Linked DNA regions of Tribolium castaneum. The protein of the gene in region 1 interacts with the protein of each later gene in a biochemical or structural test. Links are inferred from orthologs where the notes say so. Each region holds a gene or a part of one and is shown in the gene's direction. Other genes may lie near its edges. The genes, in order: armadillo segment polarity protein, casein kinase I and sgg.

Evidence for each region.
Region 2: of the proteins of armadillo segment polarity protein (region 1) and casein kinase I, one has a biochemical effect on the other in vitro, tested with the Drosophila melanogaster proteins (2 studies listed by BioGRID). The link is inferred for Tribolium castaneum from reciprocal best matches to the Drosophila melanogaster genes arm and CkIalpha.
Region 3: of the proteins of armadillo segment polarity protein (region 1) and sgg, one has a biochemical effect on the other in vitro, tested with the Drosophila melanogaster proteins (2 studies listed by BioGRID). The link is inferred for Tribolium castaneum from reciprocal best matches to the Drosophila melanogaster genes arm and sgg.

The regions. Positions count from the first base shown.
Region 1 is NC_087395.1:16,174,575-16,178,174, forward strand, and holds the start of armadillo segment polarity protein, read left to right. Parts: upstream 1-1,065; 5' UTR 1,066-1,190; intron 1,191-1,225; exon of another isoform or gene 1,226-1,314; intron 1,315-1,530; 5' UTR 1,531-1,550; coding exon 1,551-1,584; intron 1,585-1,636; exon of another isoform or gene 1,637-1,699; intron 1,700-2,369; exon of another isoform or gene 2,370-2,480; intron 2,481-3,600. Other genes in the region: uncharacterized protein LOC660622, read left to right, coding at 705-799. UniProt on the Drosophila melanogaster protein: Isoform neural may associate with CadN and participate in the transmission of developmental information. Can associate with alpha-catenin.
Region 2 is NC_087395.1:22,153,345-22,158,909, forward strand, and holds the start of casein kinase I, read left to right. Parts: upstream 1-2,001; 5' UTR 2,002-2,119; exon of another isoform or gene 2,120-2,178; 5' UTR 2,179-2,369; coding exon 2,370-2,492; intron 2,493-2,873; coding exon 2,874-2,980; intron 2,981-3,546; exon of another isoform or gene 3,547-3,571; intron 3,572-5,565. Other genes in the region: serine protease 27, read left to right, coding at 1-112, 158-322, 707-990, 1,037-1,206, 1,252-1,341, 1,395-1,534, 1,582-1,755. UniProt on the Drosophila melanogaster protein: Casein kinases are operationally defined by their preferential utilization of acidic proteins such as caseins as substrates. Can phosphorylate a large number of proteins. Negative regulator of wg signaling.
Region 3 is NC_087402.1:5,757,104-5,762,581, forward strand, and holds the start of sgg (glycogen synthase kinase-3 beta), read left to right. Parts: upstream 1-1,486; 5' UTR 1,487-1,639; exon of another isoform or gene 1,640-1,929; intron 1,930-4,368; 5' UTR 4,369-4,389; coding exon 4,390-4,711; intron 4,712-5,478.

The DNA.
Region 1 (3,600 bases):
AACTAAATGAGAAAGTGGGTGTCAGTTTATGAGGGAAAATCATAAAAAGCTGGTTACTCGGGAGAAATAATATACCTCAAGAGCTTGTCTGTTCTCTCTTATTTCACTTCATGAATTTTTAAATGAAATTGGAGAATAACTCGGAATAAAGAATTTATGAATTACAATACCTAAAAAGGCAGAAAATAATTAACTTGAGAGCTTAAATTATGGAAAACACCCGATAGCAAGAACAGACTTGTGTGGGCGCAAGAAATAATTTGTCGTCGTGTACAGAATCCAACAAAGTTGGGAGTAATTCTGATTTAAGATAATATAATTCAGAGTCGAGCGTTTTGTCACACCATTTCCATACTTAACTTTCTAAAACTCATTCCAAGTCGTAAGTTTATTATTCACGTTTTTCACATATGAATGCAAATGCGGGGACTTTCATACAAAAGCGTGCAAAGTTTTTAAAAATCTCCACATTCTCAATGAAACAAACAACTTCTATTTTCCCCATTTACAGTGCGCCAAGTTTGCGTTGGCTTAATCCAAAATCCATACTACATTATGTAAACTTTGTTTTCGTCTCACATTACCCAAACAAAGCTTAATACCGCTTCCGTAGTGAATAAATTATTAAGCTTCATAGTCTAGCCTGATAAAATGGCAACGTCGCACTGTGTGAAAAGAAAATTGCAACAGTGTTAATTTTTTAGGTGCTTGGATAAGGGGCATTGCCGATTTACCGGTGACCTTATCAGGTCACGCTGCTATCACTCTTCCTCCCGCCATGCTAATTTCAAACGAATAAGTGATAAAAACAGGAAACAATATTTGATGAATTAAAGATTCCTGTCGTGGGCGTTGAATGAGTGCGGCATCTGATTGGGAGATGGCGCCGCGCTACTTGAAGTACTTTTACACCATAACCATAGTTTAGCTTTAGAAATTATAAATTTAGCGTTTTTTTATACTCTAATGTTGTATTTAAAAATGTTATACACGACCGTACATTTGCTGCTTTTTTGATACATGAAATAAAGATTTTTACCTTAAAATCAATGATTTTTCCCTTTGACATTTCAGCATCTTGTAAACAGGTCTGCCAGCCAATCTGATATTTGTGATTGGGTGCGGTGTTGTTGTGTTCGTTATCGTATATTATCGTAATTTAAAGGGAAAAAGTGATTTTGTGGCGCAAGGTAAGTTATTTCGGTGTAAAATTATCAATTTCATTCATTTGTAAGTGTGAGAGTGAGTTTTTTGTGTGGTTTGGCCAAGTTTTAAAAATGTCGATGAACTGTGTATGACAACATGGATCTCTTTGTGAGTGGGTGATTCTGATTCTGATTTAGTCCGATGTCTGATCGGTTTGTGATTGCAATCTTTGGAAATTGTGATCGTTACACAAACGAAGCGTCTGGTGTTTAATTAAATGTTTCGGTTTGAAAGCACGTAACGATTCCTCATCCGGCAATTCCTTGTCACTGCTCGAAATTCCAATGAGATTGGTCATGAGATTCAGAGAATTCCATGTTTCAGGTGTGGTGTGGTAATTCGCCATGAGTTACTTACAGTCCAACCCGAATAGACCCAGTAAGTTGCATTCTTGTATTTTAATTGTTTGGTGTTAATTAATTATAATCAGTGTGTGAAGGTTTCGTAAACACTTATTGAGAGAGGTTTCCAGTTTGATAAACATCCTTCAAATGTAAGTTTATTCGGTTACAGTCAAAGGTTACAATGAGAATTCCCTTTAAAAACCATTCCAGATGGTGTGTTTATAATTGGATTGTTAGAAGAAGTTTATTTCCTCTGCAATAATTCATTGTTTGATTATTTTCCACTTTTTCTTGTGGAGGTTTCGGTATCTATGACCCCAGTTGTGACTAAGAGCCTATTATTCATACAAATCATACATTCTCATAAAAAAATTAAGAAAAAATTTGTGTATAATACATGGGCTTTCTTTACTCGTTCTAGAGAAATAATCTTTAAGGAAGTACCATACTATTATATTTTATTACAATTTAATAAGCATATTTATTCCATTATTAGTTAGTACAAGATCTTCTCTTACATAGAAATAAAGAGTTCTTAGAGTATATTCAACATTTAGCAAGTATTTGACCCTTTTTTTGACTAGATATCAGTCTAATAAGCCTACAGAACATGATTGTATGAAAATATTGGAGTCGTTTTCCTAAAGTGAAAACTTTTTCTGTGTATTTGGTGATCTTTCCGAAAGTAATTTTGCTGCTATCTCGTATTTTTAGTATCTTTTATTTACATGTATTCGTTCTCCTGAGTAACTTTTTAACCATATATTAGATACGTGGTTAGTATTGGTATGATTCAATGTTTAAATAAAATACAGATATGTTGATAACGATAAGCAATATACCTGAGTAACGGTTTTGTACGCTAACATTGAAAGAAGCAAGTGTTTAACTGTTTAAATTGCAATTGAATTTTCTTACTAACTCTACAAAGTAGGTACAATTTATTTTTGAATTATTACTTATTTGGTTACAGTAGCATAGTTTATTTTAGTTTATTCTTATATTCTAGTTTATTCCTATGAAGTTACAAAATTGATTTATCGTGTATGCCAAAAGTTGCGGACAGGCACTTACGGCTGAACTATCCGAAGAGGAACTGTTCAAGCAAACGCGTAAACGCAAAATTTGTAAGTTCAAATTGCTTGAAAAAAATATGTTAACTTTCTGAGAACTTTAGCAACAATATACATCCATTTGAAAAAAATTGTTAGTATCATTTAAAAATAAAATGAAAAAACCTCAATTTTTAGTCATTTTATTTTTTTAATAAAAAATGGTACTATATTTTTTGATAATTTTTTTTGTGGGTATTTTATGACTTACTTGTAATACTGTATTTTTTCATACTATTTGAACTTTAGGTTTTTCCATAAAAGCATTAAGATTATTACGCTGTTTACCCCGTTATAACTTGGTTACAAATATTTAAATCGAGATAAGAACTGGTCCATGAGTAATATGTTAACCTAGGAACAACATCCAATTGTAAAAAAAAACAATTTTGTTTATTATTTTTCTTAAAAAAATTTCTCAAATTAGTGCATTCGCACGGCCACGTGGACCGTGAGTCCAGTATAGTTCAACCTTAAGAGCTATACAAAAATAAAATTAAATAAAAAGCGATACAAAAATTCACAAAACCTTTCGTTTTGTAAACAAAAGTTGAAATAAAAAACAAAAAGTGACAACGTCGTAAGAGAATACTTTATTGTTACTTATTTAGAAAAATTGTAACCAAAAGTATTATCATAGTAATATTTGTTATTGACTGCACCTTTAAAATTGTGTTTTTAACTCATTTCAAAAACCAAGTGAAATGTTTTCTTACAATTTTTTTGAAAAAAGTTGGATAATAAATCAAGTAAACATTAAAATATACCATTTTTTGTTAGTAACAATTTTACGCCTTCTTTTTAACATTTGAATTCTAGATTACACTATTTTAAAACACGCTTTCTAAAGCAACGTGTTTTAAATTAAAATGTTCCAACAAAAAAATTGAATAACTTTGGCAGCTGTTTGGAAATAAACGGCCAAGTTTTATAGTTAT
Region 2 (5,565 bases), about 6.0 Mb from region 1:
ATACACAAACGTGGTAGTTATATCAAACAATGAGTGTAAACAGACCTACGGTGACCAAATCAAAAACACGATGATTTGTACTGCTGGTAACTTCAATGAGGGCATTTGCACTGTAAGTAAGATAACCGGAGTTTGATAAAATATTAACAGATAATAGGGAGACACTGGTGGTCCGCTGATCCGAGCCAAAGGGGCTGACAATTATGTACAAATTGCCGTTGCTGGATTTTTCAGTCAGAGTGGCTGCGAACAGTTGCACCCTTCGGGATATATCAGGACCGATCTGTACAAAGCCTGGATTCAGAATGTAACCGAAACGATGTAGAAATTGTGATTAATAAATTGTTTAAAACAAATATGAATTTTATTCCATAAAAAATTGACGCTTGCCTAACGCAAATTACTTGTCAGTTTAAAATTGAACAACGATAAAAAAATAGCGACTCTCTATGAATTATTTGATTTTAACTATAAATCTATTTGTAGAAAAAGTTTGATAAAACTAACACGCACTGAAAAAAAAATTATTAGCAAACGCTGTTTTCTGCGTGACTGATAGTTTTTGCGATACGGTAATAGTATTACATTACACAGAGCGTTCAAGTTTTTCTTAAATAAAAATTATTGGCGATTAAACGATTACATGCTACAAATCCTGTTAATTCCTAGATTAACCAAATACTTATCGCCGTAATGTTGCCGATAAAACCGCGGCCAAAATTTAGTCAGTGCAAAAATGAAGCCGTTACTGCTCCTTTTCTCGTTCATTTTTGTGATTTCGGCTAAAAAATCCGTAATTAATCTGCGACGAGTCAACGACAGCGAAAATTTCAATTCCAGACCGCGAATAATCGGAGGAAATGCTGCTGCAAGTGGCCAGTTCCCCTGGCAAGTCGCTATTTACAAAGACACTCCAGACGGCAGATATTTTTGTTCGGGGGCTTTGATTAACGCTCGTTGGGTCTTAACCGCAGCGCAATGTGTCTACGAGTATTAATGTCTCTTATTTTTTCCATAAATTTTCGGATTTTTTTAGGGCTACGCAATTCACGATTCAAATGGGATCGAATCAACTGTCATCAAATGACGAAAACCGAGTCATTGTAACGACCTCCACTTACGTTATTCATGAAGGTTTCGATCCGACAATATCGCTTGCTAACGATATTGCCTTAATTAAATTACGGATGCCTATCACATTCACTGGTAATTAATATTAAAAAAAATCAGTAAAGTTGAGTTTTTTATTAGATTATATCGAGCCCATAATTGTTGCGAATTTTGGGTACTTGTATCCGGGGCGAGTTGTTAAGGCTGCAGGCTGGGGACAAACCAGTGATGGTAATTACTAATTACCATTTTTTATCGTCCTGTTAATTTTTTTTTCGTTATAGAGGACAGTGGGTTGGCAAACAGTTTGAATTTTGTTGAAATCGGAATAATTGAGCAAAACGCTTGCAAAACGTACTTCGGAAATCAACTCGTGGACACGATGATTTGTGCTGAAGGAAATTACAACGAAGGAATCTGTTTTGTTAGTCGAATTACGTGTTAAATTTTCATTGAAGGAACTAATTTTAGGGCGATATTGGAGGACCACTCATAACTTCCGCTGATGTGGGAATAGAACTTTATGTCCATGTGGCTATAGCTAGTTTTATAAGCCAGAATGGGTGCGAAAGCTTGGACCCAACTGGGTATACTCGAGTCGATTCTTTTTACGCATGGATTGATAATGCCACCAGGCATAATTAAATCTACTTTAAAAAAATAAATATGCAATGTTTGTTAATTAAAGTTTTTTCGAAATTTTCAAATTCGAAGGCGACTTGTGCCCCCTTAATTGGATTAGGTGCAAATCTCTCGGTACACATTTATGTTTTGGTTAAATTGCTTTGTTGTAATAAATTAAAATATGAAATTGTGGAAGTGCTGATTGATTTTTGATTTTCCTGCCAGTTCGGTTGTTTGGTTGCCGCTGCGGCGACATTTTGGAGGTCGCTGTGCGTCGTCCCAGAACGCCGTCGGTAACGTGGTAACGGTTCCCTGTAAATTGTTGTCGCCCCTTTGTAAGTCGTCGTTCCCGTCAATTTTCGTCGAATTTTCTGTCATCGTAAAAGTGCGTGACGTTCCAAAATCGCCCCCTTGAAAATCCCACCGATTTGTAAAATTTTTCAGTGTTTAGGTTCGTTCGTGCGACGTCCACAAGAGGGTGCAACTCGTCGTGACGTCACGCACAAGCGATCAGTCAGAGCAATATGTCGGCGTGTTGGTGGAGCAAGTGATAGTTATTGTGTGGAAAAATAAAATAAAAGGGGCATCCAAATTTGTGAGACGACACGCGAAAAGACTCGATTGAAATTAGCACGATGGCGTCGCATTGCATCGGCAAATCGGAGTTTATAGTTGGTGGCAAGTATCGGTTAATTCGGAAAATCGGCAGTGGCTCCTTCGGGGACATCTACTTGGGCATCAACATCACAAACGGAGAGGTAAAGCGGCCGTAAACCGTCCAAATGCGCCTCCAGACGGGCCTACGACACGTCTTAACCTTTAAGTCGTGGCTTTGTTTCGAAAAAACACGAAACCAGTCCGACCACAAATCACAATGGCAGCCATTAAGGCCCCGTCTGGTCGGACCCTTTTCGCCCTCGAAATCGCCCACAATCCTGGCGTTTCGGCCAGGAATGGCCCCAAACGCCGCCACACAAAGAGTCTCTCTTTGTTTCGCGGACGGCCAAAAGTAGGTTAGCGCACCAGGATATGGGCCTCTCTTACGACACATTTCACAATTTTTACGCTCATTTTTACCATTTTTGGGCGCATTTGCGCCCCCATTTCGACGATTCCCATTAATTCGTTTTTTCCGATAGGAAGTCGCTGTAAAACTCGAATCAATTAGAGCAAGACACCCCCAACTCCTCTACGAAAGTAAATTGTACAAAATTCTACATGGTGGCATAGGAATCCCACATATCAGGTGAGCATCCGATGGGACTATACAGGGTGAATCAGACGAAAGTCATCTGCAGATAATTGCGCCGTATTTTGTTTACATAATGAACGGAAGGTTTCGGCGATCCGTATTTACATAAATGCATTATTTGTGCCCATTTTTATGTCGAACCAAAACAACAAATTCTATTTTTTATTCAATGAAACACTCATAAACGGAAACAGTGCTTGCACGTGTTTACTTAATTTTATGTCTACAATACTTCAATGCAATACAACGTTTCAACATTAATTGCTTTATTATGAAACGTTTTTAATTTCACAAACCAGAGTTGAAATACATAATCAAAAGTTTTGATTAAGTTTCAATTTCAGTTTTATGTAAATACTCACGTTGCATGGGTATTTTTTTTAAATTGAGAATACCAATTTAATGCTTATCTTTGCTAAACCATGATCTATGTGATAATTTTTATCGCTAGGTGGAAATTGATGTAAATACTTGTCTGATTCAAATTTTATTAATGAAAGGTACAGCTAACAGGTCGCAGTCACATGAGGTGATTTTTCTGTGATTGTAAGTGGTATTATTTCCTGTTGGTTAATTGTTTTGTGGGTAAGTTGGGTTTGAAAGAAAGAAATGGAAAAATACATTGGCTAGCTTTTAATTAAATGAAGTTCTTGAAGTATACGCACTTAACATTGGTAAGCTACATGTCATTTTTCGCTTATAAATAAAGCCAAAGGTATATCTTGTTTTTTTGCCAAAAAATCGAATTCTGATTTGACATATTCTACATATTGTCGCTTGCACCAACGCTTGCTTGTTCTAAAATGAGAAATAATATATTTTTTCAGCAACTTAATACTAATCTATCAATATTAATTTTAAGGAATGAAAAAAATATCTAAAAAATCGAAATTTTTACATAAATAAAAATTCTTGACATTTTATACATTGGGAAGGTATCTCCCATATTTTTTTGATAATCTTTCATATACAAAGACAAAAATAAACAATAGAATTTTAGACCCGAAAGTCAAATTCTTATTTTTATACAAATCGACGATATTATAAGGGGCTTCAAAAAGATCGGCAATTGGTAAGTAATTCCTTTGGTGGCAAATTATACCATCTAATAAATTACGCGTGTGGTTTGCGTTTAAATAAGTAAGACCGATTATTATTTAACCAACTAAGTATAAATTTCTTATCAGTATACAGTCAGGTGTATACAATTTCCAGAATTTTGTTTCATTCGAAGTGGCGGTTTTCTTGGATAAATAAAATTTCGACAGTTCTAAGTAACTAATAAAAGTCACGATCTGTTGCTTGAGCGTAATAAGCGTTGCCAGTCCCTGTATTGTTTGTTACGGACTTTTAAATATTCGATTTTTTACACTGGTTGCTGTTTTACGTTTTTTTTTTTATTTGGAATGCTTTGTGGGTGGTGTTTTACATAGTTATTTTATTTAAGTCGATATTCATGTTATGAAAAGTAGAATTATAGCCCCGTTTGCGGAATTTTTAGTTATTTTATTTAATTAGTCACCAGTGAAACTGCAGTTTTATGTTACAGTTCTAGCTTTTTATTACATATTACTATTAATCTATTAGCAGCAGGAGCGATTTCTATTTTAGTTTAAATGAATACACCGTCGCTTTCAGCTCATTTTTTATATTAGATCAGTGTCTGGTCATGTTTTTGAGGCAATATGTTTGAAATTTTCGCCTGATTCACCCATCACCCGGTCATAAACTTTCCCCTAAGACACCAGCGGCTTCAAATCGTGTTGATGTTTCGTCACATTCTCGAAAGTAAAGGATTTCGGACGTAATTTATCGATTGTTCAATGAGAATGGAGAGTCGAACGACCGTTACATAAAATTACGAATTTTTTCCTACAATCTGCTTTTGTTGTAAATTATTTATGAGTCACGCCTTTGCAAGTCAACGCGGAATTTTGCTAGATTTCATGACGATTGATATTTAAAATCACCGTCGACCTTATCGCAGTGACTTCCGGTGGTTGACCACATTAACTCACTTATTCGGCGAAATATCTTTAAATTAAGACCCGATGCGCACTTATTTAGCGCGTTATCTTATCGTGGCAATTTGTAAATAAAAACAAGAGTGACGTGGATTTTAGAAAATCGTCGAAAATTCTTAAGGTCAACGACAAAATAAAATGCGAGCTGAGACTTGCAGCGTTGTCATTTTATCTCCTCCGAGACCGTTCATTGTTCAACTTGCAAGGACTCGAAACCTTGTAAGTCTCTGGTTGCGTCTTACTACAGTTAGATTTCACGCCACCGAAAATTCTAAAGGTCGCTTAATACCGCTGTTGCAATTTTATGTCGTTTCATGTAATTAGAGATTTTTTGTGTGCGCGTGGTATTTTTAAAATTTCGGCCTTGACTGTTCGTATTTTTGCGCGGCATTGACGTGTCGTTTTGATGAAAACGCTTTTTGTTTATCAGTCGAAAAATCCGGGTGATTTTTTCATTATCCAGCGAGAGGTGAAATAACGTGTCTCTGGTCAGGTGCTTCGAACAACCGTTGCTCACCTGAACCAAATTACAATTTTTCGAGACAGTAGAAGTGC
Region 3 (5,478 bases), on another chromosome or scaffold:
TTTCAGGTCATGTTGAATGAACTTTGCTTTATTTCTAATAATAAATCGTTCCGATTGAATGTTATTCGTTTTTACTACGTTTTAAAACGGTGTAAAATGGAAGTGCGTCATCCCATGTCCCTATCGTACGTTACAATGTAAATTCATGCATGAGAATATTTTGTTTCAGTACACTTCGCACAGTTTCCATCCATGCATGTAATACGAATTCCATTACCAGCATGAGGTGTAGCGTTTTTCTAAACAACTGGGGTCCATCAATCATCGACGTATCTGTTTTAAGATGAATAATTAATCCACAACATTTTCTAAACCAATTATGGACAATTATAAATATGAAACGATTAAGAACCTTCGAATTTTATCAAAGTGTGTCAAGTGCAGCGCTGCATTTTAAATCAAATTCGATTTTAATTTCTAATACATTGACATTTTCAACGATCCAACGGAATGATTAAGCACATGTGTCCGTACTTTGTGGTGTTATTTTACGGCAAATAAATTAGTTTTGTTTAATAAAGAAACAGTTCCGTGTTTTGTTTACTCAAATAATTGACGTTTGTTGAGAATTATCATTGTTTGGATTAACTTTAATTAAATGGTCCGGTTCTAAACTTGAATTTGTTCCCATGACAATCGGAATTGTTTTCCGAAGTAGCAAATGGAAAATTAATGATGTAATAGTCATCAATTTAATTCATAATCCGATCTGCGTTCCCTGTTTTGGTTTATCTCCATTGCGCCTTTGTTTAAGCAATACTTAATTAATCAGATTAATGAACGAGTCAACTTTGATCAGTTATTGTTTGCAAAATTACTCCTAAGACTATTTTTACCCAAATATTGGCGATAAAACCGCGAACATCAAACGGAAATTGGACATTTTCTTGGCAATAACTCAGACGTGTGCCAATGGGTGTGTGAGCGTTTAACAATCCGCGAAGAAGTTGCGAAAAATTCAATTCGGAACAGTTTGTGATTTTTATCGCAGTCGGACGTCTTTCCAACTTTCCCAACTATTTTCTTCACGAAATGGGAAAATAGTCGAGACGTCACACAATCGTCGACGTCAAAGTCTATTTCGCCAAAAAACATATGACGCTTTTGGCATCGATCGATTTTAGTTTCACTAAGTCTATCCCTTCTTGACCTCAACAATTTTTTCGTGCCGTGAACTTGGCCCGTTTGCTTATTTATAGCGCTGTCATTGTTAAATTTTGGTTTTCGTCTTCAATGCTAAAACTTTTAATAGGTGACTATTTCGGTTGTGCACACAGTGTGCTCGTTATATTTAGATTTTGATTGCAAGGGGAAACGACGAAAAGCGAGCACGTGTCGGTGGTACACGTGCCCGACATGTCAACGTGACGATTTTTTTTCCATATTTTATGTTCCCCAAAACGTTGGAGAGATGTAGATAATAATCCGGTTTATCTATTTTTTATCTAATCGGATCTGTTGGTGGGTTTTTCGCTAGTTTCGATCACGGGATCATGTGTGATACGTTTTTAATTCGTCCTCCTACTGTAAATATTTGCCGAGTTGAGAATTATTATTGGAAAGTAAATATCTTCCTCCTCGCCGTGACATTCTACTCCTAGCATTGCTCTCAAGTCTCAAGATCAGTCTTATCCGAATCGTGAGTGCAGGCAGTTGCGTTTATATTGCAATGAAACTCGGATTTGGCGTTTTAATAACAATAAGACGGCGGTCTGCGGTTCGATTCGCCGCTAACGAGATTCATTAAACACCCTGTTGTGCTTAGTGTGCGTATTTGATTTGGAGTGGTTGAGTGGTTAACACCTGTGTTATTTCACTGACCCAATTTGCGAACTATTTCCACGGGAATTGCACACGAAGTTGGAAGAGTCAAGGCATTGCCTTCGATTAAGCGAACTTTTTGATGGATTAAACTTCATTTGAATAAACGTAATACTTCCGACATGGTGTTAAGTACGCGATTATTTGCATGGAATGGAAGAATTCCCAGAGAAATTTCTAATTTTTAGAATTCAAGTGTCAATAACATTTGCGTACCGAGATTAGATTATTTACTTGAATCAAACCAATTAAATTTAATTATTAAAAATTGCTCCAACGTCCCTGGACTAATATAAACAAGTGTAGACCGTGGCCCATTTACTGCGTGGATACGTTATTAAAATCGAGTTAAAAGTATTTGTTTACTGGCAAAAACAATGAGTCAAACGACGTGAGGTGCCTACGATGTGAGATGAAAATAACCGTTTAATTTTTAAAACACTCAATACGTTTTATTTTCACACTATCGATATCACAATAAAATGCTTATTGTGTGATTGTTGCAATAACTGCTATTGAAAGTTATTTTTAAATGTGAAATACGTGTTCGACCTGGTCTTATCTTCGATTTTTTCTGAAATAGCAGTGATTTTGGGTTGCACAGACACAATCACTCCAGTGAGTAACTGGAAATATTTTTATTTTCTCTGATAAAATATTTAATTTATCTATTGTCAAGAAAGAAACCGATATTAACTAAATTGGTTTATTTATTTTACGGAAAGCTATAGCAAATTTATTATGGTCAGTGTACATAACGGCATATGTGATTGTTAGTTTTTGACAACTCTAATAGCTTAGAACAATTTCTCCTAACGTTTTCACAGGCCATTTTTTCGAACAAATTTTTTGAGGTCAAAAAGTCATCTGGTCTTTGTATTCTTATCTATTTTCACGTTATTCTTATTACAGTAAATTATTATAAAAATGTTGTTAATCACTTGTTGAAAAATTTGTGAGAAAATTTTAAGACAATTACATTAAAAAATATATATCTTTGAACTTTAATATCTAGAAAAAAACATCTTTCTTTTTTTTTCTTATTATCTTTAATTTTAATTTCGTTCTAAATTCGCTTTAGACTTATGTGTATTGTTGCCACGTTTTTTTTGTACACCATAAAGTTTTACAGCAGACAATGGTGTTTAAGATAAGCACTTTTCACAATAAGATATTTTGACAAGGGTGACCCGAAAATATTTACGTTACCGATCGGTTTGTCTGAAAAACTACAGACAGTCTGCAATAAATCACACAATAAGCTTGCCTGAGTGATTAGCTTGAAGGGTTTGGGGTAATCATAATAAAAATTTAATGGTGTACAAATAAAATGTTACTACAATAACTCTGTCATTAGACGTTTTTTGGTTCGTTTTAATAAAATTTCAGAAAACCTGAGTTTAGAAATTCAAAAGCAAATTCTAATTTGGTAGTTTTTGACGAAATTCCTTACGCAAAAACAAGATGAATCTAAAAAAAAACGATAATATTATAAAAAAGATTTTCTGATTGTTAAACGTACGAACTAGTTCGATAACGTCAATTTTTTCGTCTATTTACGCGATATTTTGCGTAAAAGTAACCTAAGCATTGAAAAAAAAACAAAAACTATTATTTTTAATTGTTTAGCGATGGGTTTTTAATTTTTTTTAAAGAGATTTTCAAAAAAAATATTCGTTTAATTTTTAAGACAGTTTTTTAGGAAAAAATTTAAGTTCAAAAATCGACCTTCCATCGAAATTTTTCGTTGTATTAGAAGGAAATTTCGCATTATAAGAGATATTAGCTCAAAATATGATAATTTTTGACGTAACTTAATTTTTCGATCTATTTTCGTTTTCATGGTCGTTTTTCAATTTCAAATCCAGGGAAATCTATGATTATTTAGTGTAAAAATGGAATACTGGAGTCACCGTAGCTACAAATTCGATAATTTTGTATTACCAACTTAGGACCCACAGTTTATAAACACTCTCTATGTATTACAGACACTCATGTTTGTGGAATGACATGAGGTGGCCAAAATTCCGCTGTTTACTTCGTCAAAAATGAATTCATAACAAGGAAAATGGATTGAGTTATTTTTGTAATTTTATCAAATTCTCACTCTTCTAATTTTGTGTGGAATTAAACAAGTCCCAATTTATTGTTCCAGTCAAAAACACTTTTCTTTGTTTGTCTGTTCTTAGGTGGTAAAGTAATCCTTGGTATTTGTTTTTTCAGTTTTCAGTCGGCCGTAAATTGCCGTCTAAATATTTACCAAACAGTGCAAAAATACCAATCAGTGCTAATTAAAATACCGCAGGTATCGAACTAATCCGGTATTTTTCTGTTGGCTTTAGATCAGTTCGTATCACGCACCAAACCGCCACAAATCCATATTGTTTTGTGTATTGTTTCGCATGACGTGTCACAGTCATGTAGTGCTTCTTACAAAAAAGTATGTGGATTATTGTTGTGAATTTTCTAACCTTACAAAAACCGGATGGGCGTCTTAGATGCGCATTAAAATCACAAGGATTACCTTGACCAACCCATTTTTCTCAGTAGTACGGGCTGATCGAATCCATGGCGCCCAAAATCGACGAGCCGGGCAAAAATAGCGACTCTAAAGTCGCAAGTGATGCGAATTATGTGGTTAAAAAACAGTGCGAGTGTAAGAAATTGCAAAGTGTTTTGCCCGAAAAGAACAAAAACGCGAGACCTAAGTACGGCAGGTCAGTTTCTGTGTGCGATTTATCTTCGGACAAGCACAAGTCGACCAAGAAAAGTGCGACTTTGGGGTCGGTGCCGGCGATCGATGGACTGGGGAAAAGCCAAAAAACGACGGGCTACTCCAGGTTGTTGTATTGCTGGAGGAAGTTGAAGAGGTCGCTGTCGAGCTCGGGAAGTAAGTAGGAAAATTTTCACGGTGAAAAATCGACAGAATCGGCGCTAATTGAATTATCTCGATTCAATCAAACAAGTGGCGTTTTCAATACTGCGTTAATTTTCACAATGATGCGGCGTCGAAAGTGGACGGAAACAAAACATTGGAAGAAAGTGTTACGGAACATAATCGAGGACAATGATTAGAATCTGACTTTCTTCGCCATTTAACGACGAAAAACGACAACTGTTTCGCGTGTGCGTTTTAACGTTATTGTGTCCCTATGTAAATAAATTTCTCGACAACAAAAAGATTGACTTGTGAGAAATCGCAGTTATTAAGAAAAAATACTACAATGTGCTTATCTCATCAACGAAACAAGTTTATGGACCCGTTCCTTATCGTAATCATTTTTAACTTTCCAAAAAATATTCCATTACGATTTCGCACGGTAGTGTTCTGCTTAAATCAATTACGATTCACTACTAATCGAAATAACAGTCTTACATAACTGTTACACAAAATATTACTTTTTGAACGAGAAAATCCGCAACGCTACAATAATAAGCTTTATGTTGTCGGGATTCATTTAGTGGCAGCCACAAAAGCCCACGCTGGAAGACCCTTTGAGCGAGGCTAAGAATAAATTGTATTGAATTTTTAACGAACAAAAACATTGGCGGTCGAATCAATTTGCGACAGTTTAAAATTTTAGCTCGGGATATAAGTATGTTGCAGAATTACCTTTTGATCATCGGAACCATCTGTTCGTAATAAAACTCCGATAA